Oryctolagus cuniculus: one gene and its partners. The protein of the gene in region 6 interacts with the protein of the main gene of each other region in a pairwise test. Links are inferred from orthologs where the notes say so. Each region holds a gene or a part of one and is shown on either strand. Other genes may lie near its edges.

What was found.
Region 1: the proteins of NDN (region 6) and NEFL interact in binary tests that used the Homo sapiens proteins (3 or more experiments, as listed by UniProt). The link is inferred for Oryctolagus cuniculus from reciprocal best matches to the Homo sapiens genes NDN and NEFL.
Region 2: the proteins of NDN (region 6) and MIER2 interact in a two-hybrid assay, tested with the Homo sapiens proteins (2 studies listed by BioGRID and IntAct). The link is inferred for Oryctolagus cuniculus from reciprocal best matches to the Homo sapiens genes NDN and MIER2.
Region 3: the proteins of NDN (region 6) and EID1 interact in binary tests that used the Homo sapiens proteins (3 or more experiments, as listed by UniProt). The link is inferred for Oryctolagus cuniculus from reciprocal best matches to the Homo sapiens genes NDN and EID1.
Region 4: the proteins of NDN (region 6) and TFIP11 interact in a two-hybrid assay, tested with the Homo sapiens proteins (2 studies listed by BioGRID and IntAct). The link is inferred for Oryctolagus cuniculus from reciprocal best matches to the Homo sapiens genes NDN and TFIP11.
Region 5: the proteins of NDN (region 6) and E2F1 interact in a two-hybrid assay, tested with the Homo sapiens proteins (2 studies listed by BioGRID). The link is inferred for Oryctolagus cuniculus from reciprocal best matches to the Homo sapiens genes NDN and E2F1.
Region 7: the proteins of NDN (region 6) and LAX1 interact in a two-hybrid assay, tested with the Homo sapiens proteins (2 studies listed by BioGRID and IntAct). The link is inferred for Oryctolagus cuniculus from reciprocal best matches to the Homo sapiens genes NDN and LAX1.

What each region holds. Positions count from the first base shown.
Region 1 is NC_091433.1:49,228,069-49,232,310, reverse strand, and holds the start of NEFL (neurofilament light polypeptide), read right to left. Parts: upstream 2,801-4,242; 5' UTR 2,665-2,800; coding exon 1,618-2,664; intron 669-1,617; coding exon 544-668; intron 101-543; coding exon 1-100. UniProt on the Homo sapiens protein: Neurofilaments usually contain three intermediate filament proteins: NEFL, NEFM, and NEFH which are involved in the maintenance of neuronal caliber.
Region 2 is NC_091447.1:58,246,338-58,250,335, forward strand, and holds the start of MIER2 (mesoderm induction early response protein 2), read right to left. Parts: upstream 2,801-3,998; 5' UTR 2,734-2,800; coding exon of another isoform or gene 2,670-2,733; coding exon 2,661-2,669; intron 1-2,660. UniProt on the Homo sapiens protein: Transcriptional repressor.
Region 3 is NC_091443.1:71,693,919-71,697,876, forward strand, and holds the start of EID1 (EP300-interacting inhibitor of differentiation 1), read left to right. Parts: upstream 1-1,158; 5' UTR 1,159-3,458; coding exon 3,459-3,958. UniProt on the Homo sapiens protein: Interacts with RB1 and EP300 and acts as a repressor of MYOD1 transactivation. Inhibits EP300 and CBP histone acetyltransferase activity.
Region 4 is NC_091452.1:20,280,662-20,284,894, forward strand, and holds the start of TFIP11 (tuftelin-interacting protein 11), read right to left. Parts: upstream 2,801-4,233; 5' UTR 2,686-2,800; exon of another isoform or gene 2,060-2,685; intron 859-2,059; 5' UTR 850-858; coding exon 641-849; intron 1-640. UniProt on the Homo sapiens protein: Involved in pre-mRNA splicing, specifically in spliceosome disassembly during late-stage splicing events. Intron turnover seems to proceed through reactions in two lariat-intron associated complexes termed Intron Large (IL) and Intron Small (IS).
Region 5 is NC_091442.1:24,388,522-24,391,586, reverse strand, and holds the end of E2F1 (transcription factor E2F1), read right to left. Parts: intron 3,032-3,065; coding exon 2,879-3,031; intron 2,234-2,878; coding exon 2,119-2,233; intron 2,045-2,118; coding exon 1,822-2,044; intron 1,732-1,821; coding exon 1,484-1,731; 3' UTR 501-1,483; downstream 1-500. UniProt on the Homo sapiens protein: Transcription activator that binds DNA cooperatively with DP proteins through the E2 recognition site, 5'-TTTC[CG]CGC-3' found in the promoter region of a number of genes whose products are involved in cell cycle regulation or in DNA replication.
Region 6 is NC_091443.1:13,452,797-13,456,378, reverse strand, and holds NDN (necdin), read left to right. Parts: upstream 1-1,400; 5' UTR 1,401-1,533; coding exon 1,534-2,511; 3' UTR 2,512-3,082; downstream 3,083-3,582. UniProt on the Homo sapiens protein: Growth suppressor that facilitates the entry of the cell into cell cycle arrest.
Region 7 is NC_091444.1:19,380,680-19,384,757, forward strand, and holds the start of LAX1 (lymphocyte transmembrane adapter 1), read left to right. Parts: upstream 1-1,278; 5' UTR 1,279-1,894; coding exon 1,895-2,108; intron 2,109-3,310; exon of another isoform or gene 3,311-3,574; intron 3,575-3,954; exon of another isoform or gene 3,955-4,075; intron 4,076-4,078. UniProt on the Homo sapiens protein: Negatively regulates TCR (T-cell antigen receptor)-mediated signaling in T-cells and BCR (B-cell antigen receptor)-mediated signaling in B-cells.

The DNA of each region.
Region 1 (4,242 bases), on a different chromosome or scaffold from region 6:
GGCAGACCGGCCGAAGACCTGGGAGCTCTGGGAGTAGCCACTTGTTATGCTGCCCACACTGGTGAAACTCAGTCGGGTCTCCTCACCTTCCAAGAGTTTTCTGGGGAGACCAACAGAGGGTAGGGTTAAAATTAAAACAACCTAGGAAGTGTATTTAATGACTTGCTCTAAGCCCACCTCTCATCTGTTCTCCCAATGCCATCCTACAGGCAAATGCAAACAAGAGAGGGCTGGGAATTACCAATATCCAATGGCTAGGAATTTTATGAATGAGACTGGGGGTGGGGGGATACAGAATAAAGTACGTTAAATAGTTCTATTAGATTTTAAGTGTAATGAGAAGCTAAAAACAGGACTTAATATTACAGGGTAAAGTTCTTTGATATTTGTCTAAACACTTGCTCCTTCGAAGAAGCAAACTAATCATAATAATATCTCATTTCAGAGGGCTATTGCAGAAGGCTTCTGGTTCAACATGATCTAAATGGCATCTGATTTTCTTCCAAGGCTTTCTGGCTACTACCTTTGCCCTTCTGTTGTTACCTGTAAGCTGCAATCTCAATATCCAAAGCCATCTTCACATTGAGGAGGTCTTGGTATTCTTTTAGGTATCGTGCCATTTCACTCTTTGTGGTTCTCAATTCATTTTCTAGTTTGTTGATCGTGTCCTGTTGGAAGACAGAAAAAGAAGAAAATCTAAGCATCAATTCCTACTGCTATCATTTTACTGTAGCTCAGTTACAAACACTCAGTTTCAGTTAGAGTCGAGGGGCACACCTTTAATAAAAATCTCCCCTAAAACAGCTGCTCACTCTTTTTTGAAAATATTTCTCGCCTAAAATATCCAGCTTCATGAAGCATGAGAAGAAAAAAAAAAAACTAAAGAAAGAACATTCCTTTAAGACAATATCCTCAACTAGTACAATCTAAGGAGCATCAGAATATGCCTGCATGGAAACTAACTTGACAGAAAAGGCTGGATTCTCATTTATGGGTTAACTCCACTTTAGCCAGGTCACAATCCAGAAAATTCATCCATTTCTTCATAAGAGAAGGAAGTAGCTAAATTGCTTATACTTTCTCTAAAATATTTCCTATATTTCTGCTCCCCAGCTAGTTACCCAAGACAAATCTGTCTGGGTTCCTGTCCACCTGCTAAGGGGAGGAGTAGCTGGTACTTAACCAGTCATAAAATATACTGGCCACAGTAACCTTTCGGGACTAATTAAGACTTACTCGCTATGGTTATTAACCAGGTGATCCCACTGGTGTTGCAAAGTAACTTCAGGTGAATGCAGGTAGGTAGATGGCCCGACATCCCTGCAGGCCAGGGCAACGCCCTACTCCCACCTCTCCCCCGCCCCCGCCTGACCCCTCCCACGCTGGGCAGCTTCAATGCGGAACTCAGACTCCACTGCACCACTCACACACCCAGACTGCAGTAGCGGCCCCGCCCCACCCAAGGGCCCCGCCCCTCCCACACCGTCCCCTGGGAGCACAGTGCGACCCCTACCAGCCCTGGTCTCCACTTTTTGGGCGCAGCTTCAACTCTCCCCCTGCCCCGACCCCCGCATTCTGCAGGTCCCCGCCCCCGCCGTGTTTCGCACCAGGCCGCACCTGCATAGCACTGATGTCGGCGTTCTGCTTGTCTTCCAGCTCCTGCAGCTGCTTCTCCAGCGCTTCGTTCATGCCCCGGCATGCTTCGATCTCCAGGGTCTTGGCCTTGAGCAGGCGGCGGCTCTCGGACACCTCGTCCTTGGCTGCGCGCACGGCGTCGGTGTTCTTGGCGGCGCTCTCGGTCAGCACGGTGAAGCGGCTCTTGAACCACTCTTCGGCGTTCTGCATGTTCTTGGCGGCCAGCTTCTCGTACTGTGCACGGATGTCCTTGAGGGCGGCGGAGAGGTCGGGCTTGGAGGACACGTCCATCTCCACGGAGATCTGAGCGTACTGGATCTGCGCCTGCAGCTCGGCGATCTCCTCTTCGTGCACTTTCTTCAGAAAGGCGATTTCGTCCATCAGGCTGTCGATGCGCTTCTCCAGCTCAGCGCGAGCGAGTGCCGCCTCGTCAGCGCCTTTGCGCGCCTCCATCAGCCTGCCTTCGGCGTCCTCCCGGCTCAGCACCTCTTCCTCATAGCGCGCCTGCAGGTTGCGAAGGGTCTCCTCCAGCCCTTCGCGCTCGCCCTGGAGCGCCTGCTTCTCGTTGGTGGCGTCTTCGGCAGCCAGGCGCAGGTCGCGGATCTCCTGCTCGTACAGCGCCCGGAAGCGGGACGGCTCCGAGTGCTTCTGGCGCAGCACCAGCAGCTCGGCTTCCAGGACCTTGTTCTGCTGCTCCAGCTCGTGCACGCGCTCGATGAAGCTAGCGAAGCGGTCGTTCAGGTCCTGCAGCTGCGCCTTCTCCTGCGTGCGGATCGACTTGAGGTCGTTGCTGATGGCGGCTACCTGGCTCAGGTCGAGGTTTTCCAGGCTGGGCATCAAGGAGCCGGAGCTGGAGGAGTAGCTGCGGCGCACGGACAGCGAGGAGGAGACCGGTGCCGAGTAGCTGGAGTAAGCGGAGCGCGCGGTGCTGTAGCCGCTGCGCACGCTGGAGATGTGCACCCGGGGCGTCTCCACGTAGCGCCGCTTGTAGGAGGTCGAGTAGTACGGCTCGTAGCTGAACGAACTCATGGTGGCGGCCGGTGCCCCTCTGGCCCGCGGCCGGAGATGGGGCCTGGAGAGAGAAAGAAGGACGGGGGAGAGAGGGAAAGGAGAGGATGGATGGCTGTGTGCGGCTCGGCGCCGTCCTGCCACCCCTATTTATACGCCGCGAGGCTTCTGACGCAGCCTGCGATCGATCCCGGCGCGCCGGCCAGTGGGGGCAGCGCGCTGCTGCAGCCAAGGGGAGGATTCTGCGCAAAACGGAGGGCGGGGGCGGCGGCGCGGGGCCGCTGAGCTGCGGCTCTTCTCCTTTGCACTTTTCTCTGAGGCCCTTTCTGTTCTCTGAGACCCTATATCCCCGCACCTGTGTCCTGTCCTTTCCCACCCAGCCAGCCGCAGCCTGCTTACCCCGGGACCCACGTATCACTCAGATGCTCAAGTATCCCCAGCCATTGGTTCTCGCCGCCCACTGACAACTTAGTTTTCCATAACCCGGTACCTCTCGGAGACCCTGGCCCGCAGCCCACCGCTTCCCACCAGGGACCTCTTTGATCACCCCTCTTCCCCACTTAGTGTTTATGGCGACGGTGCAGTGTCGCTAGTGGTTTGAGAGGAGAATAGGCTGTGGTTGCACGTATGCGGCATTTAGCGAGGAAAGTTTCGCGTTTCTTTGCAGTTTTTCTGGCACTTTCTTTAATTAATCTACCTTTCTCCTGGGCCCCCTGACCCCCGGAGTTGGTGGGCTGCTTCTCAGCCCACAGGGTTCTGCCCCCCTACCTACACACGTGCGCGATTGCGGCGTGCATTGCAGGTGTTACCTTTTATCATTTCTAAAGCTGTAGGGCACTGCCTCTGGCTTCCTAAATTTTCTTCTTTGTGGGGAAGAAAGCCTTGGAGGCTTTCGGTGTGTTGACGACGCGGGTAGACGGAGGGAAGCAGAGGAAGAGTGACGCTACCAAGGAGAAGACCCGCTTGCTAGGCGGCGGCTCGCTCTACGGCGGGCAACTGACTTCAGGCTGCCTGGCTGGAACTTCCCCGAGCTAAATCCCTGCTTCGTGGACTTGACACTACCGACTCCCTCCTATTAAAAGCCCCCTTGCCCGCTTTGTACACCTGTGTAACACCCAACCTGATGATTTCGAAAGGCCATGCAGGTGGCTGATTTTCATAGGGAAGCTGCGGCGGCCAGCCTCAGGCGTCGGGTGTGGTCTCCGGAGAGAACTCCTGGAGCTTGCAGCCAAAGCAGCCGCGTGATTCCTCCGTCGGGTCGCTATGTTAGGTAGATTAGAAAGGCAGTCAGAAATCTATGGGTTTCTTATGGAAAGCACCCGGATACCTGAAACAATGTGCACGCCTTACAGCACGTGGATACGCCTTTCCACAGGGGTTGTTTGGAGTTCTACGGGTTCATGGGGAGAATTGCAGAGATTTACATAAAATCCCTAAGGTTTTTCTAAGCATGCTCTTAGCTTTTGTTTTATTTGCATGACAGCATTTGACATCAACTTGATTTTTTTTTTTTTTACAGAAGCAAACTTTCCAAATGGAGAAATCAGAATCTCTTTGCCTGTGATATGCTTTCCCTGAGTGGTACCACAGTTGCTTCCA
Region 2 (3,998 bases), on a different chromosome or scaffold from region 6:
CCACGTGGGCGCCTGCTGAGTCCCGGCTGCTCCGCTCCCAACCCAGCTCCCTGCTGCGGCCTGGGAAAGCAGCGGGTGGCCCAAGTGCTTGGGCCCCTGCACCCTGCTCAGGGCTCCTGGCTTCGGCCTGGCCCAGCTTCAGCCATTGTGGCCATCTGGGAAGTGAACCAGCAGATTGAAGACCTCTCTCTCTCTCTCTCTCTAACTTTCCATTTTTTTAAAAAAAACATGCATTTATTTATTTGAAAGCCAGTTACAGACTGGGAGGGGAGGGGTCGTCCACCCGCTGGTTCACTCCCCAAATGGCCACAACAGCCAGACCTGGGCCAATCCAAAGCCAAGAGACAGACGCTTCTTCCGGGTCTCCCACGTGGGTGCAGGGCCCAAGCACCCGGGCCATCTTCTGCTTTCTCAGGCATATTAGCAGGGAGCTGGATCAAACATGGAGCAGCCAGGACTTGAACCGCGTCCGCGCGGGAGGCCTCGCCCACTAAGCCCCAGCAGGCCCCACTCTTTCAACCTTAAAAACCTCTCATCTAGTACCTGTGCGCCAAGTCTGAGTGTTCCCCCTGTGACGTGATTTCGAGACAACTCAACCGTCAGGGGGCAACTACAAATCAAACCCTACTCAGGTATTTTTCTGGGTTAAACACAGCTGAACTCTGGGTATGGTTTACGGAGGCCCTCAGCCCTGGACAGACAGCGTGGACGTTCCCGGCACAGACCAGGCACTGAGGTTCTGCAACCTGTGATGCCAGCCCAGAGCGGGAAACCTCAGGGGCACTGCCTCCCTGCGCCCCGGCCCACCCGCCGTCCCCATCGCTCAGTGACTCCCTGCGCCCCGGCCCACCCGCTGCCCCCAGCGTTCAGTGACTCCCTGTGCCCCGGCCCACCGGCCACCCCCAGTGGCACTGCCTCCCTGCGCCCCCGGCCCACCCGCTGCCCCCAGCGTTCAGTGACTCCCTGTGCCCCGGCCCACCGGCCACCCCCAGCGGCACTGCCTCCCTGCGCCCCCGGCCCACCCGCTGTCCCCAGCGCTCAGTGACTCCCTGCGCCGCGGCCCACCCGCTGTCCCCAGCGCTCAGTGACTCCCTGCGCCCCGGCCCACCCACCGTCCCCACTGGCACTGCCTCCCTGCGCCGCGGCCCACCAGCTGTCCCCACTGGCACTGCCTCCCTTCGCCGTGGCCCACCCGCTGTCCCCACTGGCAATGCCTCCCTGCGCGCCCCGGCCCACCCGCTGTCCCCACTGGCAATGCCTCCCTGCGCGCCCCGGCCCACCCGCTGTCCCCAGCGGCACTGCCTGCCTGCGCCCCCGGCCCACCCGCTGTCCCCACTGGCACTGCCTCCCTGCGCCCCGGCCCACCCGCTGCCCCCAGCGCTCAGTGACTCCCTGCGCCCCGGCCCACCCGCTGCCCCCAGCGCTCAGTGACTCCCTGCGCCCTGGCCCACCCGCCGTCCCCACCGGCACTGCCTCCCTGCGCCCCGGCCCACCGGCCACCCTGCGCCCCGGCCCACCGGCCGCCCCCAGCGCTCAGTGACTCCTGTTCCCCCAGACCTCTGCACGAACTCGCCCAGCGCTCAGTGACTCCCTGTGCCCCGGCCCACCGGCCACCCCCAGCGGCACTGCCTCCCTGCGCCCCCGGCCCACCCGCTGTCCCCAGCGCTCAGTGACTCCCTGCGCCCCCGGCCCACCGGCCGCCCCCAGCGCTCAGTGACTCCTGTTCCCCCAGACCTCTGCACGAACTCGCCCAGCGCAGACGCCCAGCCGCGGCCAGCACAGGGCAGGAGCCACAGGCTGGCCGCAGGGTCTGACCTGGACCTCGGCTGGGACTCGTGCGCGACCCACACGCCCCTCACTCCCGGGAGTCCACGGCCACGTGACCCCACCGCTCCTAGGGGACGTCAGCAGCCCAGGGAAGGACTCAAGAGACCCAGGCACCGTGCGGGGGCCGAGCTGGACAGCAGGGCCCGGGGCGGTCCTGGGAGGAGGGAGTGGCCAGCACAGCGCCTCGGCGCCCACCGCGCCCTCCCGGAGCCGGAGACCACGCATGGGCCCGGCCTGCTCCAACTTCGCCCAAGTGCGCAGCGCGGGCGGCCGCGCCCCCGAGGACGCCACACTCGCGCGGGCTGCCCCGCGCCCCGGACGGCGTCTCCCCGGCCCGGCCGCTCCCACTCAAGTCCCCGAAGCCAAACTTGTCCTCGAGGCTGCGGGACGAGCCTCGGAGCTACTCCGGCGTCAGTCCCAGACCCCGCAAACCCCGCGGCCGCACCCGAGACCCCGCCGCCCAAGCTCGGCGGCCCCGGCCCCGGCCCGGAGGGCGCTCGGACGGCCGGCCGCCGCGACTTCCCGCCCGCGCGCCCACCCGGCCCCAGTGCGGCCCGCGCCCCGCCCTCCCTGCGCCCCCTCCCAGCCCGCGCCAGCGCGCATGCGCGCCGCGCGCCGCGATGTGGCAGCCGGGGGGAGGGGGCCGGGGCCGGGGGCGGCCGCCGACCGAGCCCCGCGCCCCTCAGGCCCCCGGCGGGCGAGGCGCCCCGAGCGCGCCCTCAGAGCTCCAGGGCGGGCGCCTCGGCCCGCGGGGCGGCGACCGGGCCAGCCGCGGCGGCGGGGGCGCGAGCGCGCGGGGGCGGGGGGCCGGCTCCCCCGGCCCGCTCACTCACCTCCGCCATGGCCGTGTGTGCGCGGGAGGCGGCAGCCGCGCCGGGATCCCCGGATGCGGAGCCGCGCGCTCATTGGCTGTGGCGCCGGGAGGGCGGGCCCGAGGTGGGCCGGGCCGGCGCGTAGTAGGTGCGCGGGCGCGTGGCGCGCGGCGGGGCGGGAGGCCGAAGCCCCGGGCCGCAGCGGGCTTGCGGGCGCCGGCCGTGGGCGGGGTCTCCGCCGCACCCGGGCCTCGCCGGCGGGAGCGCGGACGCCTGCGGAGCGCCTGCGTGGAGGGAGGCGGGCGCCCTGGCCGGAGCCGGCGCGGGCGTCCGGGCCGCGTGGTTCTGGAACCTTCTGCGCTGGGGACCGTGTGCGGTTACAGCCGAAAGACCAAAAACCTCCGTCGGCCGCGGCGGCTCCGGGAGGGAAGGCTCAGTTTACGCGTGCGGGCGGCCCTGCCTCGAGCGAGGCAGGTGCGGGCGCACGGTTGTCTTAGGTGTGCGGGGCTGCTGAAGTCAGCGCTGGGCGCTTGGTGAGCGGGAGGGCGTCTAGCGCTCCCGTCCCTGCCCCGCAGGAGCTGCGGAGCCGGGTGCGGGCAGCGGGGCCCCGAGCCGCAGGCGGGACCAGCGACGGCACCCGCCCGCCCCGCCGGACCCGCACGGAGGCAGCGGTCAGCCGCGCGGTGCAGGTGGACAGGCCTGGCCCTGCTGCGTCCGCTCAGCCCTCCGGAAGGGCCACCCTGCGGTCGCCGGGAGCCACTGCCCCTCGGTTTGGCCTCTGTTTCCCGCACCGGGCGCTGGCCGATCGCAACAGGCGGTCTGTCCATCGCCACCCGTCCGCTCCACGAGCTGAGCGTGCGTCCCGGGCAGCCAGAGGTCCAGGAAGGGCCAGCAGGCCATCAAGAGGAGAAAAGGGGGCCGGCGCCGGGGCTCACTTGGTTAACCCTCCGCCTGCGGCGCCAGCATCCCATGTGGGCCCCGGGTTCTAGTCCCGGTTGCTCCTCTTCCAGGCCAGCTCTCTGCTGTGGCCCGGGAGGGCAGTGGAGGATGGCCCAGGTGCTTGGACCCTGCACCCCATGGGAGACCAGGAGGAAACACCTGGCTCCTGGCTTCGGATCAGCGTGGTGCGCCGTCCGCAGCGGCCATTTTGGGGGGTGAACCAACGGAAAAGGAAGACCTTTCTCTGTCTCTCATTGTCTATAATTCTGTCACACAGAGAGGAGGGCAGGGAAAGGATTGAGTCCGCGGGGAGAGCGCCGAGACGCAGTTACTGCCCAGAGGCGCTGCGTGGACAGCTGCGTGGACAGCAGGGTGTGAAGGTTTGGGCGCCGCCAGCTGTAGGGAGTGACGTTGTAACTG
Region 3 (3,958 bases), about 58 Mb from region 6:
AATAAATAAAATCTTAAAAAAAAAAAAGAAAAGGTTGGTGGCAACATTTGTTCCTTAGCTTTAGTCAGTACACTTTCCCCTTTCCTTTATGTTTTTGTTTTCTATGTATTTATTTTTGCATAGTTTGAAGTGTTGTTGTTCACTACCAAAAGTATTCTGACCAAGTCAGTACCCTTAAGCCTTCCAATATGAAATAAAACTAGTCAAGTGAATTGCATCAATAAGCCAAGAAAAATCTTTTTAAAGAACTTTTTTTAAAAAATTAATCTGAAAAACAGAAACAGATCTCCTATCTACTGGTTCACTCCCCTCAGTGCCTGCAGCAGCTGAGGCTGGGCCAAATAGGAGCCAGGAACTCAGTCTGGGTCTCCCACGTGAGTGGCAGAGATGCAACATCGTGAGCCATTTCATGCTATCTTCCAGCGTACACATTAGCAGAAAGCTAGCACTGGGCACCAGAGTGCACATTAGCAGAAAGCTAGCACTGGGCACAGAGCCGGGACTTGAACTCAGACCTTCCAATATGAGACACAGGCATCCCGGAGATGTATTTGCCACACTGTTTTTTAAAGTTTCATTAGAACATCAACACTATGGGTGGACTTCTGGCTAAGTGGTTAAGTTCCTATTTGGGATGCCCACATCCTATCAGAGTGCCTGGTTTTCCTGGCTGCTCTGCTCCTGATCCAATTTCCTGCTAAGGCACACCCTGGAAGGCAACAGATAATGCCCCAAGAACTTGGGTCCCTGCCACTCATGTGAGAAGCATGGATGAATTCCTGGCTCCTGGCTTCAATCTGGCCTAGCCCTGGCTGCTGACGGCATTTGAGAAGTGAGTCAGTGGACAAAAGATCTCCTCTGTCTCTCAATCCCCCACCCCCACCTCCACCTTTCAGATAAAATGAAGAGTAGTTTTTAAAAAGTTCTTTCTTTCTTATTTGAAAGGCAGAGTTACAGAGGGAGAGAGAGAGAGGCAGAGATAGCAAGATCCTCCAACCAATAGCTCACTCTCTAAATGGCAACAACAGCCCATTGGAAGCCAGGAGCTTCCTCCCCATCTCCCACATGGATGCATGGGCCCAAGATTTGGGTCATCCTCCCCTGTGGATCTTGCATTGGATGCCGGCACCTTAGGTGGTCCCAATACATAAATTTTATTATTTCTTTTTTTTAAAAAAAGATTATTTTATTTGAAAGGCAGAGTCACAGAGAAGTAGAAGCAGAGAGAGAGAGAGGTCTTCCATCTGCTGGTTCACTCTCCAGATGGCCACAATGGCTGGAGCTGGACTGATCCAAAGCCAAGAGCCAGGAGCTTCTTCTGGGTCTCCCACTTTGGTGCAGGGGCCCAAGGACTTGGGCCATCTTCCACTGCTTTCCCAGGCCATAGCAGAAAGCTGGATCAGAAGTTGGGCAGCCAGAACTCGAACCAGTGCCCATATGGGATGCCAGCACTGCAGGCGGCGGCCTCACCTGCTACACCACAGTGCCAGCCCCAATAACTACATTTTAAAAACTTAAAACACTAATACTATGCACTATGTACTACATTTCAGAATTGTGTGGCAGAATCTGCTAGAGCTGCTATTATACAATGACCAAGCAATGTACATCTCACAGAACTGTGTATTTATATGGAATGGTAGATATTCTCAAGAAAGACAAAAACTTCCCTGGTCGTAACTGCTCTGAACTGGAAACAATCCTAATATTACCACTGTGCTACTCAAATGGTCTATCATTCACAGCAACGATGTTTGGAGAGCAAAGAAGCCAGACACAAAGAATACATGCTGCTTTTTTAATGCATATAACATTTAAAAACAGGAAAAAAATACTATCTTTAAATATATTTATTGGAGAGATGGAGAGAGGAGAGGGGGAGGGCGAGGTAGGGGGAGGGGAGAAAGAGGGAGAGGAAAAGCAAGTGAGCTTCCATCAGCTGATACACTTCCAGAATGCCCAGAGCTGGAGCTGTGAACGCAATCCCCGTCTCACAGGTGTGGCAGGACCCCAATTACTTGAGAAACCATTGCTGCCTCCCAGCGTCTGCACTAGCAAGAACCTGGAGTCAGCAACTGGAACCCGAGAGTCGCTTTGCTCCTGTGATCTCAGAGAACGGGTTCTGCATCTCAGGGAGAACACGGCTGCTGCAGTGAACCTCCTCGGTACGCTCAGGTAACCTGACACAAGACGAAAGCATCCCACTGGCATCCTCACCGCTAAGTTAAACACCTCTTCCTCCATACAGTTTTTAAAGATTCCTTGTATTGCACAAATGTTTGATTTACAAAAGATCTATAAGAATCAGAAGGAAGATAAAAATTGTTTTTGTGCAGTAGGAAAATCCATCATGATAAAAAGACATTCAGAAAAAAAAAACCTTTAAATCTGATTAAATAAAACTAATTCTTAAGACCTCTTAAGACAGACGAGGAACAGTTGTAACCTTAAAAACAAAGTATTCACATACAGATTTTATAAGGAATTCAGAGGACACAAGTCAGTAACAAAAGAAATACCAAATAGGGCTTCTTTAAGAATAAAAACTATAGAAAATATATAGTATTAAATGATACACTATTAAATTGATAAAACTGTTAAAATCCAACAAAAGCAGGTGTGAAAAGGGTGTGGGGAGTTCTCAAATACTACTGTCTAGAACTTAAATTTTTACAGCAACTTTGGAGAGTACTTTGACAATATTTAAAGTAGACATACCCTATACACATAGAGAGAGCTAAGTCTTCAGGATATTGATAAACGTTTTTGAGAGTTATATAGAGCATGCAGAAAAAAGTTTTCCCACATAAAAATCCAAATAATGTAAAAAAATTATTTAAAGAATATACATCAAGCTGACTGATAATAGGAGAAAGCTACTTACTAGGAAAGAAAAATGGGACCAAATGTTCACTGACTATAACTGAAAATAGGATAACTTAACTTATATGACTTGTGAACTTAATTTTAAGGGGCAAAAAGAAAAGAGCAGAATGGCTCAGTTCTCAATATGTTGGCCTGCGTGTGGTTCGGAGACGTGGATTGAGAAGTCATTAGGGACTAGACGAAACCGTGGAGCAGGTGCGGTTGCCTGGGGGATGAGGAAGAGGAGCAGCAGGAGCGTTAACTGTGGTTAGGGAGGTATCTCCCAGTTTATAGCATCCTAAGTAGTATCGCGGCACAGCGAAGCAGAGCCCACGGAACGCTCTCGTACACACAGTCTCTAGCTGTGAGGTTTGAATCGGTGGACACACAGTCCACCGAGCCGCCCCGACATTCCCCGGGGAACGGCGAGCTCCCCGCCATAGCGGGGCGCCCAGCGGGAGGCGGCAACTGGGGGGCCACGCATGCGCCCCGAGTCCCGCGAAAGCAAGGCTTGTGCGCACGCGCACAACGGCGCAGCCGCGTCGCCCCTGTTTTGCTAAAAGCGCTTTGCTAGAACCTGAGCGGTTTCTACCATGTCGGCAATGGCAGAGCTGTCGGAGCTGTATGAAGAGTGCAACGACCTGCAGATGGATGTGATGCCCGGCGACGGGGACCTTCCGCAGATGGAGGTAGGCAGCGGGAGCCGGGAGCCGACCCCGAGTCCCTCCCGCAGCGGGGCCGCGCCACAGCTCGAAGAGGAAGGCCCGATGGAGGAGGAGGAGGGGGCGGCGGCCCAGCCAATGGCGGCGCCGGCGGGGAAACGCGGCCTGGCTCCCGGGCGCAGCCCTGGGGAGCAGCCCGGCCAGGTCGCGGGCCCGGACTTGGAGAGCGAGGACGAGGGCGAGGAATTTGATGACTGGGAGGACGACTACGACTATCCAGAAGAGGAGCCGCCGAGCGGCGCGGGCTACAGAGTGTCCGCGGCCCTGGAGGAAGCCAACAAGATGTTCCTGGGCACATCCCGAGCCAGAGAAGCAGCCCTGGATGGCGGCTTTCAGATGCATTATGAGAAGACCCCGTTCGACCAGTTAGC
Region 4 (4,233 bases), on a different chromosome or scaffold from region 6:
GAAAAGGCCATGTCGCAATGGGCTGGGACCGCGGGCCACAGCAGGGGTGCAGAGACAGCCCCGTCAGCCACACACTGGTCGAGTAGCTGCAGCCCACACACCCGTGAAGGGGGCTTCTCAAATATAACCCCCCCAACCCTTCTCATACCGTGCTCCCCTTCCTCTCGCTGCTCCAGCCCCCAAACCTTCCTGATCCGTGTGGGTCTCCTGCAGCCCCCGCCAAGGGCCTCTGCGTGCTCACACCTCTCCCACCACCCCGCAGCCTAGGGTCACTTGTCCAGAAACATCCTCCCTGGCCCCCGGAAGACGTCAAGCACCCTTCCAGGCTTCTGTGCTCTCCTCCATAACCCTAATCCCGGTCCCAGAGTTCAGTGGTCCAGGCCTGTCTCCATGCACTGGAGTCTAGACTCCAGGAAGCCAAGCGCTGGGTCCACAGCACAAGGCCTGGACCACAGGAACTGCTTGGAAGCAGGACTGCCGGTGAAACAGTGAACGAGCAGCACTCCGGCCTCGGGAGGAAGCTGCTGTCCCAGCCTAGGGACTCCCTCCAGAAGGCCAGGAGAGGCGGCCACCTGTTGGGTCCCCTCCCCACCCCTCCCCTCCATGAGACGAGGGCAAGCTGCCCGGGGCCAGGCAGTACCGTTTGCCTCCGAAGCTGGGCCTCTCGTCGTCCGAGTCGTGCTCCGCCCACACTCCGTAGGTGGCCTCCTCCTTGGTCTGCCAGTGGCGCTGCCGGTTGGGGTTGAACTCGTTCTGCAGATCCCAGTCGGTGATCTCGAAGTTCTCCCGCTCATCGTCGTCGTCATCCACACGGCCTTCGCCATCCCGATACAGGTGGGACAGCGACATGGCCCGTCACTGAAGGGACAGAAAGGGCACGGCGTCTGCTAGGTCCTGGGGGCAGCAGGAAGATTCTCGCTGCCCCCAGAGCTTCCTCCAAATTCCAAGTCCGTCAGGACCAGTGTTACCAGTCAATGAAGCAGAAACTGGAGGTGTGGGTTAGAAAGCGGTCGGCCCTAACACGGGTGAAACAGGAGACAAGTTCCAGGGCCATGCGACTCAAGGTCACTCCCTGCCCTCACCAATGCCATAAACACGGCACACATGTACACATGCACGGATACACGCATGGACATGCAAACACACCTCCCGGCCTTCCACGCATCACTGCCTCAGAAACTGGGCGGACCTCTTCTGGGGTCCCAGATGCCACTATTTTTTAATGTAACTGTTTGGGAAAGAGGTATCGCTCCACCCCTGGCCGTCCCAGGGGGACTCCCTCGCCCCTCCCAGTATGCTTTCTGAAACATCACTTGACAAGACTCAGAGACGCCTGCTCTTCCAAAACACGGATCTCTTCCTTCGAGCCGGAAGGCTGCAGGAATTACGATTACATAACTCAGTAAGGTATCTGTGGGTCAGAACAGGGAACCCACTTCTGGGAGGTGGAGCTGTCTAAACTTGAAATCGACAGCTGTCGCGGCCCTGAGTGTGGGGAGCAATTCGGACTATACTGTTACTGGAATTAAGATTTATTCTATGCATCTGCTCTCCCACAATATGGCGCTGGGAGAGAAGTAAACAGCTTCTACCCAGCTGCCTTTCACCAACTTGACAAGCTGCAGGAGCTGCTCCTGATTGGAGGAGAGCGGCGTGCTCGGCGTGTGGGCAGCCGAGTTGGGATTGGCGGAGGAGGACTATATAGGAGGAGAGAGACGGCATAGTGGTGTGGGTTGGTTGGAGAGTGCGTTGGAGAGTTCGCGGGGAAGTTCGTTACTTCGTTCTTTCTCATTTCTCTCTACTCATTCTTGCTTTGGGAGTTTGCTGTTTACTTATTCTTACTTTACTATAGAAAGGACTTGTAAAAAAAGGGAACAACAAGCGCCCGGTCCGGTGCGGCTCCTCCGCGTGCGGAGGAGCAGCACCTGAGCAGTGCTTTGCAAGGAGGATTCCCTAGGAGGATGCTTAACGCGCACACAGCTCCTCCCCAAGTCCCATCGTTAGGTTCATCACCATCACGACAGCCCTGCTAAGACCGCAGCCCGAGTTCAAATCCCACCTCCGCCAGTCGCACAGCGCCAGGCACGTCGCGCCGCACAGTGAGGGTGGCTGTGGCCTGCGTGTAGCAGGAGCGCCAAGCAGGGACAGGAAGCTCACTGCTTCCACGGGCAGCTCCGACAGCAGGCACGCCGGGGGAGGTGGGGGAGCAGAGGGTCCCCGTGTTCTCGGAGAGCGGGTCCCAGAGACGTGGGATTACAGAATGCCGCCGCTTCCGAGGGCACGGGGCACGATATTCCCAAGAGCAGCGGCGAGTAGGGGTCCTCACCGGGCGCTCAAGCCGGCCGGGGTCAACGTTAAGACCCTTCTTAAAGGTACCGCCGACGCCTCCATGCAGAAAGGTAAGTAAAATGAGGTTCGAAGACGTTAAAAGCAACTTGCCCTGGGGGCGCCCTGCTGGCCGGCCTCACAACCCGAAGCTAGAACTCCAACTTCTGTCTCTCCTGCGTTCTAAGCTTCGCGGAGGCGGCTCCGGTTCCCAACCCCGCGGCCCGAAGTGATCGCCACCGGGACCGCCCCGCGCCGGGCTCCCACATTGCTGCGGGCAAAATGGAATCCCACCCGGGCTTGGCCGAGGCCCGCCTTCCCCGACCCGAGTCCCCCGTCCCGCGGCCCGGCCTCGCTCACGTCTCGGAGGCGGTCCAGCGAACCAAACAGCTTCACACTCCGCGCAAGTAGAACGCCGCTCTGGTGGCCGGACCCCGGATGTGGCTAGGCCGGCGCGCCGGAAATGACGTAGGCCACAGCGGAAGTGGCTCGCCGGTTGCCATGGCAGGGAGGCGCCACAACGGGTTTGGCCCCAGAGGGGCAGGCTGGGTAACCAAAAATGAAGAAGCCGATTGGCAGGGCCGGGAGTAATTGGAAAGTGACTTTTCGGTCGTGTGGGCCTCCCCGTCGCGCCTGCTTCGCCCCGCGACGCCCAGCCTATGGCGACTGGTGTGGCGGGCGCTGAGCCACGTTGGCCTGACAAGCCTCCTCTGCTGTCTGTGATTCTTTTTTTTTTTTTTTTTTTTGACAGGCAGAGTGGATAGTGAGAGAGAGAGACAGAGAGAAAGGTCTTCCTTTTGCCATTGGTTCACCCTCCAATGGCCGCTGTGCTGCGGCCGGGGCACCGCGCTGATCCAAAGCCAGGAGCCAGGTACTTATCCTGGTCTCCCATGGGGTGCAGGGCCCAAGCACTTGGGCCATCCTCCACTGCACTCCCTGGCCACAGCAGAGAGCTGGCCTGGAAGAGGAGCAACTGGGACAGAATCCGGCTCCCCGACCGGGACTAGAACCCGGTGTGCCGGCGCCGCAAGGCGGAGGATTAGCCTAGTGAGCCGTAGCGCCGGCCTTGTCTGTGATTCTAAATCTGCGACATGGGGCTGGGGCACTGGCTCGGAGGACCGCTGTGAGGAGACTGGAGGGAACCAGGGACGTGGCGATCATCGACTGAGAACAGTGAAGTCAGGACCGCGCCGTGACCGGCGCGCCGCGGGGAGCGCATGGCAGGCGGGCACGGATTCCAGAGTCCCCGAGTGTTCTCTCCGGGAACAGTGAGACCAGCTCACTTGCTCACTCATGTGGTTAAAAAGGGCTGAGTGCCTGCACTCGCAAAGGACTCGATGAACAAAAGAGGCGTGACCCGGGCTCCTCCCGGGGGAGCTGTCAGCGGCCGGGGACGCTGCGTGGACCTTGAGGACACACACGTGGGTCTTGGAGCTGCAGCCTTCGCTCTGTAATCTACCCGCTGCCGTGGACCTCGGGCGAGGCGTTGCATCTCTCTAAACCAGGGATGAGAACCTTTTTTCTGCCAAGGGCCATGCAAAATTATCAACAAAATTAGCCTGCTGTAGGTTTATTGAAACAAATAACCTTTTAAAAAATTTTTTGTTTATTTGAAAGGCAGAGTTACAGAGAAGCGGGGAGGCGTTTTCCATCCGCTGATTCACTCCCCAAATGGCCACAACGGCCAGGGCTGGGTCTCCCATGTGGGTGCAGGGGCCCAAGAACTTGAGCCATCTTGCGTGTCTTTCTCAGGTGCATTAGCAGAGAGCTGGATTGGAAATAGCCAGGAAGGAGCCAGGACTCGAACCAGTGCCCATATGGGATGCCGGCACTTCAGGTGGCATCTTACCCAGTACGCCACAGCGCTGGCCGTGGTTTATGGAATTTCCAGTCCCACCTGTGGTTGCC
Region 5 (3,065 bases), on a different chromosome or scaffold from region 6:
TCCCTGCCCCTCCCGCCCCAGGGCCTTTGCTTGGAGTGACTCAGATTAGCTCCCACTCATCCTGCAGTTCTCAATTCCAGCACCCCCCCCCCTTCCAGGAAGCTCTCCCAGATCTCATCTGTGCGAATCTTCACCAGCCTCTGAGACTCCAAGGGAAGTCATTCACACCTGGCTGTTGTGGCCATTTGGAGGAGTGAACCAGCAGATGGAAGACCTCTTTGCTGCATGTTTACAAGGCCCACAACTACCCAGAATGAACACAGCCAACTGGTGAGTTGCCTGGGGGCAGGCGAAGGAGGAGTCCACTTACCCCCTGCGGTTTGTCACTTCTCAGGACAAGATTCTCTACTGGACCCATCTTTAGCTAGGAGGAAGATGCCCACCTTTCTTGGAGTCATGAGGCTCAAACGAGACTGACCGGGGCAGGGCGAGGAAGGGACGTGGGGAACGGCATTTCCCAGCCAGACTTGCTCCCAGTACAGAGTCCCCAGACCCAGCCCAAACGTCATCAAAATATTTATTAAAACCAAAGCAGGAGAGAACAGAGCTGTTAGGAAACAAGTCAAAGTGCAGATGGAGGGTGGGACGGAGCAGCCAGCTGACCACACGAGAGGCCCCTCACTCACCCCTCCTGCCCACCCTCAGGGAAGATCCCTCACTCCCCTCTCCCTGCTCACGGCCAACCTGGGGGACGGCTGGGGACCTGCAGTGACTCTGGGGAGGAGCCACCCCCTCCATCACTCACGGCTGGCTGGCTGTCAGTCAGTCTGTCTCCCTCCCTCCTTTTCCCAATAAATAAATCGCTCAGGCCTCAGCTCCTTCCGGGCGGGGTGAGAACAGCTCAGGGCCCCGTCTCTGCTCAGGGACAGGGAGTCAGCTCTGCAGGCCTTCCTCCCTCCGACCCTTTGCCCATTCCCAGGCTACCCAGGAGGCCTTGATAAATAAATAACGCTCCATTAAAGCTTCGGTCAGGAAACCCTTAAGACAGAAGTGCTCACTGTCCTGTACCCTCACAGCCAAGGGCTCCCACCTGGCCCGCTCAGCACACAGGATGCTGTGGGCAGGGGGCTGCCCTGGGCCTCGTGGGGCCCCTGGAGCAAGGAGACCGAAAGTGCAGTTCGAGCCCCCTCACGCGCACACACGGACGCACGCCACACACGTGGACACACTGGGGTGCGTCTGCAGTACACGCACAGATGTGTTCACCTTCATTCCCCGGTCCACGCACACATGCACGCTCACACCACACGCACCCCAGGTACACACGTGGGGGGTGTCAGGGATAAGCACACACACACTGCAAACAGAATCCCCCCTTCCTGGCGACAGCCAGATCCCAGAGCGAGAAGCCCCTGGAGATAGGAGAGGGGAATAAATTAAACATTTCCAATCAGGCTGGGAGGACGGCCAGAGGCAAGGGGCTCCGGGGCTGCAGAGACAGCCAGGGTGGGCATCTCAGGAGATACCTCCCCCCGAAGCCTCCTCAGAAATCCAGCGGGGTGAGATCCCCAAAGTCACAGTCAAAGAGGTCTCTAATGCCCTCCCCCTCCTCGAGGCCGAAGTGGTAGTCGAGGGTCTCATGGGGAGGGGAAAGGCTGATGAACTCCTCGGGGAGGAGGCTGGAGAAGTCCTCCCGCACGTGCTCCAGGAGCGAGTCAGCTGCCACCAGTGGGGACAGGCGGTCCTCATCCACGGGGGCTCGGAGGCCACCCATGCGGGATAGCAGCGGTTCTGGGAAGACAGGGGAACATCACAGGGGCTGCCTGCACGCTCACGAGGGGGCTCTGCCCTACCTCACCCTACCCCGCACCCCTCAACTACCTTGCTCCAGGCTGAGAAGGGACTGGCTGGGATCCAGAGCAGGGGATGAGGGAGGAGATGACGAAGGTGGAACCAAGGTGGCAGAGTCAGCTGTCCTGTCTTCCTCCCCAGATGCCACGCCCTGGGTCGGGGTCTTCCCAGGACTGATCGCGCCCGCACTCTCCTCAGGGCACAGGAAAACATCGATGGGGCCTTGTTTGCTCTTAAGGGAGATCTGAAAGGTCTGGGTAGAGGTGGCAGGCGGGGTAAACGCAGGCCCGGGCGATCACAGCCCAGCCCAGCCTGTCTTGGTCTCACCTCTGCGGAGTCCACAGCTTGGAGCTGGGTCTCAGGAGGAGCCTTGATCACCATGACCATCTGCTCTGCAGGATCCACAATGCTCCGAAGGTCCTGGCAGGTCACGTAGGCCAGGGTTGGAGGAGTCAAGGACTACACACGGCCTCTGCCTCTGGGGGCCACTCACCCAGACAGCTCATAGGCAGGCCTGTGGCTGCCTGTTCTCTGCTGTCCTCACCGCTCAACCCCCTACCTAGGGCCTGGCATGTGGTACTTTCAAGATCTCCCTTCCCTGCCCCGAGCCTCAGCTTCCACTCCCGTACAATGGGACCATTCAGCTCCTCCAATCCCAAGGGGATGATGGCGGCTGCCTGCAATGATGACTCCTAGGAAAACGCTCAGTGCAACTCCAGGCCGCTACTGGCCAACTTATTTTGAACCATGATTTTGGAGTCAAAACTTAGAAGCACAATTTGGGTATCCACTAAAAAGAAGTCCTATTTTAAGGAAATTCCTTACAAAAATGAAAAATAAATTGCCTGTACCTTTGAAGCCACAATGGTTACTGTTAACACCTGCCTTTCTTTCGTAATCGGATTTCAGAGTTGGACATTACGTCCTTTATAGATGAAGCTAAGCGCTGAAAGGTTAAGTAACTGGCCTAGTGACACAGCACGTGCTGAGCCAGGACCTGCACCCACAACCCGGGTGCTCTCCCAGGGCCCAGGGTGGCCTCTCCAGTGCCACTCGTGGGGGGCCCACAGCTTCCAGCCAAGGATATCGCTGGCTGTCAGAGTCCTCAGAAAGCAGCCGCAGCTGTGTGGCACAGAGGTGCATCAGGTGGTCCAGCTGCTGCTCGCTCTCCTCCAGCTGCCGGAGGTCCTGTGTTAGCCCTTCAAGCCGTCCGCCGATGCCCACCGTGGTGTGGCTGCCTCTGTGGGGAGGACCACAAGGGTTAACAGCTCTTG
Region 6 (3,582 bases):
ATCCTGTGAGATGGTAAAGATTCCACATGGACACTGAGTGGAAAGAGCAGCAGTAGGGGGAATAAAGGATCTGAGGAAACAGGGAAAAGGACATTATCAAACAAGTTGTGCTAATAATTACAGCAATCTTTATCCTATAGAAACCTGATGAAAAGTTAAAATGGAATCAAAGTGACCCAAGGGAAGATGAAAATCAAAATCCATAATCAAAAGACTAATGAATCAACATAAGTAGCTATTTATAGATGAATGAATGAAGGAAATGTGGTATATACACACAATGGAACACTATTCAGCCAGAGAAAAAGAATGCCATCAGTCAGTTGAGGTAACACCAATGAGCCTGGAGGACAATATGTTAATCGATATGCACCAGGCACAGACAGACAAATACTACATGTCCTCACTCACATGTAGAAAGCTAAATAAGTTGGTCTCATGGAAGGTGAGATTAGAAAACTGGTTATCAAAGACTGGGAAGAAGAAGAGAAAGGGAGACACAGAAAAGTCAATTACATGCTACATAAATACAATTAAATGCAACAAAAAAATTTCCAGTGTTCTGTATCACATTAGGTGATTATAATTAACAATACTTTAATTATATATTACAAAATAGCTATATGGAAGGATTTTGACTGTCCCGTAACACAAAGAAATGAAAATGTGGGAAGTGGTGGATATGCTAATTACCCTGATTTGATCAATACACATCATATATATTTATGGAAATAGCACCCTGTTCCCCCAAAATATGTGCAATTATTATGTCAATTAAAAATGTAAAAATACACAAAAAATGTCAAAGTTGTTTTAAACCCATTATCTCCAGCATCATTCACATTTTGCACGGACTGATAGGGAATTTACCAATTCTGCATTCCTCCTTATTTTATACTCTTCCTCCTCCTACTCTCGGAATTTTGTAGGGAGAGACTTCATCAACTCTTACTGGTATTTCCCAGGATTCCAGTCTCAGATCTTCCCAAAGTTCGCATATTTTCTTAGAGAATCCCAACTATTCACATTCTCTTGAGGAATCCCAGCTGCTCCTCTCACTTGGTCGCAGGAAACCGGGAGCTCTCTCTGGGACGCTCCTGTCACACTTAGTCCTGGACAAACCCAGGTGGACCCTTGTAAGAAACTCTACCTCACCACGTGGGAAACTGAAGTTACCATCTTCCCCTTTAAACTTGCCCCTTCCTCAGCGACCACCCAGCCCCTCCTGCCCTCCCCAAGGCCGCCTCGTCCACGCAGGAAACCCGGGGTCATTCCCATCAGGCCAGCAGCGGCTCCACCTCAGACCCTCGCCGTCGGGCGCACAGCCCCTCCCCTCCCGCCCAGTCCGAATCGCGCGGCCCGCGGACGCGCAGGCGCAGTGTCCCGTCGTCCCGCCGCCGCCCCGCCCTGCCCGCCGCTGCGGAAGGCGCCGCGCGCAGCTACGCGCACTTCCTCTCAGGGAGACCGCGGAGGGAACGCAGGCTCGAAGAGCTCCGGGACGCTGAGGCCCTGCTCCTGTCAGACGGCGCAGACATGTCGGAACAAAGTAAGGACCTGAGCGACCCCGACTTGACAGCCGAGACCCCCAGCCGCGAAGTGCACAGCAGCCCAGGGGTTCCGGCGGGGGGCCCTGCGCCCGTCTCCCCTGCAGCGACCCTCGCAGGGCCACAGAGCCCTCCTCCAGGCCCGACGGCGCTCTCACAGCCCGAGCCGCCGCCCCAGGCCCCGAGCGATGAGGATGACCCGAAGGCCCTGCTGCAGGCAGCTGAGGAGGGCCGCGCCCACCAGGCCCCGAGCGCGGCCCAGCTGGGCCCCGCGCCGCCCGCCCCGGCCCAGCTGGTGCAGAAGGCACATGAGCTCATGTGGTACGTGCTGGTCAAGGACCAGAAGAAGATGATCATCTGGTTTCCAGACATGGTGAAAGATGTCATTGGCAGCTACAAGAAATGGTGCAGAAGCATCCTCAGGCGCACCAGCCTCATCCTCGCCCGAGTCTTTGGGCTGCACCTGAGGCTGACCAGCCTGCACACGATGGAGTTTGCGCTGGTCAAGGCTCTCGACCCCGAGGAGCTGGACAGGGTGGCACTGAGCAACCGGATGCCCATGACAGGCCTTCTGCTCATGATCCTGAGCCTCATCTACGTGAAGGGCCGAGGCGCCAGAGAGAGCGCCGTCTGGAACGTGCTGCGCATCTTGGGGCTGCGGCCCTGGAAGAAGCATTCCACCTTCGGGGACGTGAGAAAGCTCATCACCGAGGAGTTCGTCCAGCAGAATTACCTGAAGTACCAGCGCGTACCCTATGTTGAACCTCCGGAGTATGAGTTCTTTTGGGGCTCCCGAGCCACGCAAGAGATTACCAAGATGCAGATCATGGAGTTCCTGGCCAGGGTTTTTAAGAAAGATCCCCAGGCCTGGCCTTCCAGATACAGAGAAGCTCTGGAGGAGGCCAGAGCTCTGCGGGAGGCCAGTCCCAGTGTCCACTGCCCCCGAAGCAGTGTGTCTGAGGACTAGTGAGGTCTGGAGGCAGATTGATGGTTTCCAACCCCCACCAGGGCTGTGGAAGGGTGGGGGGCAGGTCTTAGAGTATTCAGGATTTACAGTGCAGTATTTCACGTGTAACCTTTCAGTTATCAGTACAGTGCTTTTATACCTTTTAATGCAATGTTGTATTCATTTGGGTACTATCAAGTAGTGTCTAGCATTTATGCATGTTTGTTTATAAGTAAGCTCTGTTGGTGCTTCGCTTTTGTGCTACCTTTCTTGGATTTTTTGTACCAGAGATGTGCTAAACTTATGAAATACATTGAGAAGTTTTCCATCTTATTCTTTTATATGGGACGATTGATGTGTACTGTATGATTGATGCACCTGGTGAGTGTGGAGAACTCACCAGCAAAGCTGGCCTAACCAAGAGAAAAGCCTAAGGCCCCTCTTTATGACCTTGATGGGCATGAGCAACATCTGGAGTGAACTGTTTTGAACTGAGATGGTCTCAATGTGGGCACTTGGCACACTTTACTAAACACATATACAACCTACCATGAGTAAACTTTAAACATTAAAGATTCTTGTGATACAATCATTTTTGGAGAACTGTACTCTATCATTTTAATAAACGGTATCATAGGGAATGAGAAGGGATTCCCCATTGTACAAAATATGCAAATACTTCATGATTAATCCTAAATGTGTATTTATATTGTATTATAAATACAACTCATATTTGTTTCAAAAGGTTTGAGAAATACAGAATGTGTAATGTCCCCAAAACAAGTAAAATTTTCCACAATCATAACACAAGGAAATAGCAATTGATCATATTTAAGATAATTTCTTGCCTTCATTTTCTATACTTTATCAAAGTTAATAGCTGCCTTTAGTGGTCTCTTAAAGAGGGAGGAATAGTGTTTTGTTAACTTTTGCCTTTTATTTAGTGCCCTCACTAAATAGTCGCTTATTACATCCACACAATGGAGGAAATCAGGAACAAAGTAGGGATGAACTTTGTGTAACTCACATAGCTGAGTAAAAGAGGGTGCTAGGATTTGAACCTATGCTATGAATCTGGAGCCCACATTCGTG
Region 7 (4,078 bases), on a different chromosome or scaffold from region 6:
ACCAAGTGTGCTAGGGCTCTGGCCCCAATCTTCTCTCTCTCTCTCTTTTTTTTTTTTTTTTTTTTAAGAAAAAGAAGTGTGAGTTAATTTTTGGCACACAAAAAAAATAGCTTTTTGTAGTACGTGGAAAAAGTCTTATAAAAAACCCTAAAGGTTGGATTTCAAAAAATTGCACCATAATGAGCTCATAGTTCTGCTTTTCTGTGAACTTTGCGTAGAACCCTGGTCTAATCGTACGTGGCGTTCAGCCCCTAAGATCACGAGAAGTGGTTAAAGGGAAACAGCAGAGCAACTGGATTTAAAGTGTACCCAGCTTCCTCTCCGTTAGGGTGAAGCATTCCAGAGAGTCCGGCTCAGTGGGCTCCAGCCCAAGGAAAATGGGACAGAGGGGCCTGGAGCAAGGGGGCTCGCGGCCACTCCCAAGGGTGTCTCCCCAGACGTGGTGGGAGGGAGTTAGGACACCCGGGGCGGCAGCTGGGTGGAGAAGCAGAGGAGGCCTTGAAGGGGTCGCCGTGGGGGCCATGCGCTCTGAGGAGCGACAGTCTGCTCGCTGCCCGCCAGGCTCCTTGTGCACACACAGCCCCTCCGTCTCAGGTCCATGGCTCAGGGCACCCATCCTGGACACCAGGGCGACAGATCCTTATTGAAGGCGAAGAGGGCGGCGAGCCAGGCTCTAGCTCCAGAACTGGCTGCCAGGCCGGGCTCCTGGGAGCCATCCAGGACCCGCCTGCAGCCTCGGGGCCTGTGCTGGACACTTGTGGGACAAGGCCTGCTGGCCGCAAAGCTGAGGTCACCAGTGTCCAGGGTGGGGGAGGCACTGAGACGTCTTCCCTTTCCCCACTAAGGGAGGCGGCTTCCTCCTGCAAAGAGAGGGCTCTGCCCGCCCAGGCCAGCAGTCAGGCAGGGCGGGTGGGCGGGGCAGGAGGGCAAGGATGTTAACAACACCTGGGATGTTTCCGGTGGCCCCTGGGGACACTGTGACTATAAGAACCAGGATGGTGACTGCCGACCCCAGCGTTAGCTCTATTCCTGAAAGCAGAAGTTCTCAAAATGCAAAACACACCTGCTCTGTTAAACACTTAGAAAGCCTGCCCCGCCCCCCCGCCGGCTCCGGCTGCACCTGCACCCACTTAATCACAAGGGGGTGCATCTGTGCTCCCAGGCTCTGCCTCCGAAACACCTTGACCCCAGGTAGCTCAGAAAGCCGGGGTGCAAATGCCCAGTGCTGGTCCCACTGCGCACAGAGCACAGGGCCCCCTGGCCCACCCAGGCGCTGCGGGTGGGGGCTGCACCTTCTGCTATCTGCGAAGCATTTCCTGCCTGGCTTCATTAGCACGTTGGTGGCGTCGCTTCCTGTGGCTGACTCTCCGTTTCCATTCTGGCAGAGAGTGGTTTGTGTTTTTTTTTTTTTCACACAGTTTTGGGGGTGAGAGGAAGATGAGCTTCACACGGGGCCTCTCCTGGGCCTCTTGGCAGCCTGCCCCGCTGTGCCCCTCGCGTCTGCTTGGGAAGACAGAGCTGGGAGGCTGGGCCTGAGCCTCCTCACTCCGGGAGCCCCTGCGCCCAGGCAACCATCACCACCGACGGCAGACATCGCGGCCACAGCCAGGTAGCACCAAACCTGTTGTCTGTGACGTGGGGTCAGCTGGGCCTGGCACTTCGGGGGCAAGACAGCATGTTGGGGGCGGGGGAGAAAGTTCTAGAACAAAAGATGTTTAGGAAGAAAGTAAAACCGAAATACTGCTTTCGTGAAGGACTTTGGGGAACAAAGATTTAAGAAGAAGAGGTTTTGCAAGTTTTGATGGTGTGTCCGGGAGTATTGGGAAGACGGGGTGACCAGGAGGTCTCTCACTCTACGTGATCTGCTGCAGAACCAACAACAAGAAGTGGTTACATGCAAAATACAAACCCATTTGCCTTTTCTCCTGGGAGTCAGCCCCAGAGGAGGAGTGGGAGTGTGGCAGACACGCCGGCTGGCGGCTGTGAGCCAGAGCAGGCCGAGAAGCTGAAGACGGGGCATACCTCAGAGGCTGCTGGACGATGGGCGCCATCACCCCGACCCTGTCAGGAATGCAAGGGAGCACCCTGGAGGCCAGCAGCCTGGAAGGGTGAGTGACAGCATGGGGCTTCCCCGCCCCCCCCCACCTTGGGGAGCCTCAAACAGGCTCGGGTCCCCCAAGGCCACAAGCTCTGGGCTCGGAGGCATTTGCTCGGGGCTGGCGGGAGGACGGGCAGGCGATGAGGGGTCAGGAAGTCCAATTACACGGGTCCTCTTTGCTGGTGGCCTGACTCCCCTGGACTTCCCTCAGGGCCCCTGCGCCCCGTCCTCCATCTTCCCTAACTCAGGTCCCACCAAACACCCCTCAAAAAAAAAAAAAATAGGAAGTGGGCATGTGGCGCAGCCGTTAAGATGCCCTTGGGATACCCGCATCTCACATCCTACTCCTGAGTTCAAGTCCCATCTCCACATCTGATGCCAGCTTCCTGCAGGCGTGCACCCTGGGAGGAAGCAGATGCTGTAGCTGGCTCCCCACCACCTGTGTGGGAGACCCAGATTGAGTTCTGGGCTCCTAGCTTTAGCCTAGCCCAGCCCTGGCTATTTCAGGCTCGTGGGGAGTGAACCAGCCAGTGGGAAATCAAACTTTCTCTCTTTCTCTTCCCTGTGTGACTTTTGAATAAATAAAAGTAGAAAGTGAAGCAAACATGATCCTACCATGATAGAAACAAAAGCCCAGTTTCCCAAGGATGTGTCTTTAGGTTCTAGAAACCTGCCATGAATGGAAAATGGAATCCTATCAGCATAAAGACTCATCTTTAGGACATAGCCTCTCCTGGGACTAAGGGGGCATCTGTGTCACCGCTGCTACTCTCGGTCTCGCACCAGTAAAGATAAGTCCATCAGCCATTGAATCTTTAGAAACACTGCTAGCAAGAAAGGTCAGTACCGTGAGAAAAATACAAGCCCATGATAATACATTTTAAAATCGCTGTCATTTTGAGAAACGCGTTTTTACTGTGGCAAACATATGTCGCTTGCGAGTGAGACGTGGGTGCTGATGAAGAATGAATTCCTGAAAGTTGTCAGAAGCCTGCTCCCTCACCAAGCTATTTATTTTTAAGATAATTTTGTTTTTTAATTGTAAAGAACAATCATGTATGGTGCATAACATGTTTTGAAATATTGTATACATTGCAGAATGGCTATGCACTAATTCACTTACTTCCTTTCTCATGGGGAGAACTCTTAAAATTCACTCTCTCTGATTTTTAGGGCTATGATACATTGTTATTAACCACAGTCACCACAGTGTGCAGTAGACCTCTTGAGTTTATTTCTTCTTTTTTTTAAGATTTTTTATTTATTTATTTGAGAGACAGAGCAGAGCTACAGACAGTGAGAGGGAGAGACAGGAAGATCTTCCTTCCATTGGTTCATTCCCCAGACAGCCACAATGGCCAGAGCTGCACCGATCTGAAGCCAAGAGCCAGGAGCTTCTTCCAGGTCTCCCACGTGCGTGCAGGGGCCCAAGAACTTGGGCCATCTTCTACTGCTTTCCCAGGCCATAGCAGAGAGCTGGATCAGAAGAGGGGCAGCCGGGACTAGAACTGGCGCCCATATGGGATGCCAGCACCACAGGTGGAGTATTAACCTAGTGCGCCATGGCCCCGAGTTTATTCCTTCTAACTGAAATTTCGTATCTGGTAACTGTCATCCCTACAACCCCTCCCCCACAGCCCCTGGTCCCCGTCTACTCTCTGCTGCTGTGAGTTCAGCTGGCTTAGACTCCAAGTCGCATGGGAGATCATACGTGTTTGTCTTTCTGGCCTGGGTTATCTGCTCGACACAATAGCCTCTCATTGCATCTGTGTTGCCCCAAAGGACAAGATGCCCTTCTTCTTCAAGGCCGAACAGTACAGCTGGGTGTGTACAGCACATCTGCGTTGTCCATGTACCTGCTGAGTGGCGCAGAGGTGGAGTCCACGCCTTGAGTATGGCAAATAAGGCTCAGCAAACACAGCAGTGCACGCGTCGCTTTGACACACTGACTTCATTTCCTCTGAGTCCGTGGGACTGCTG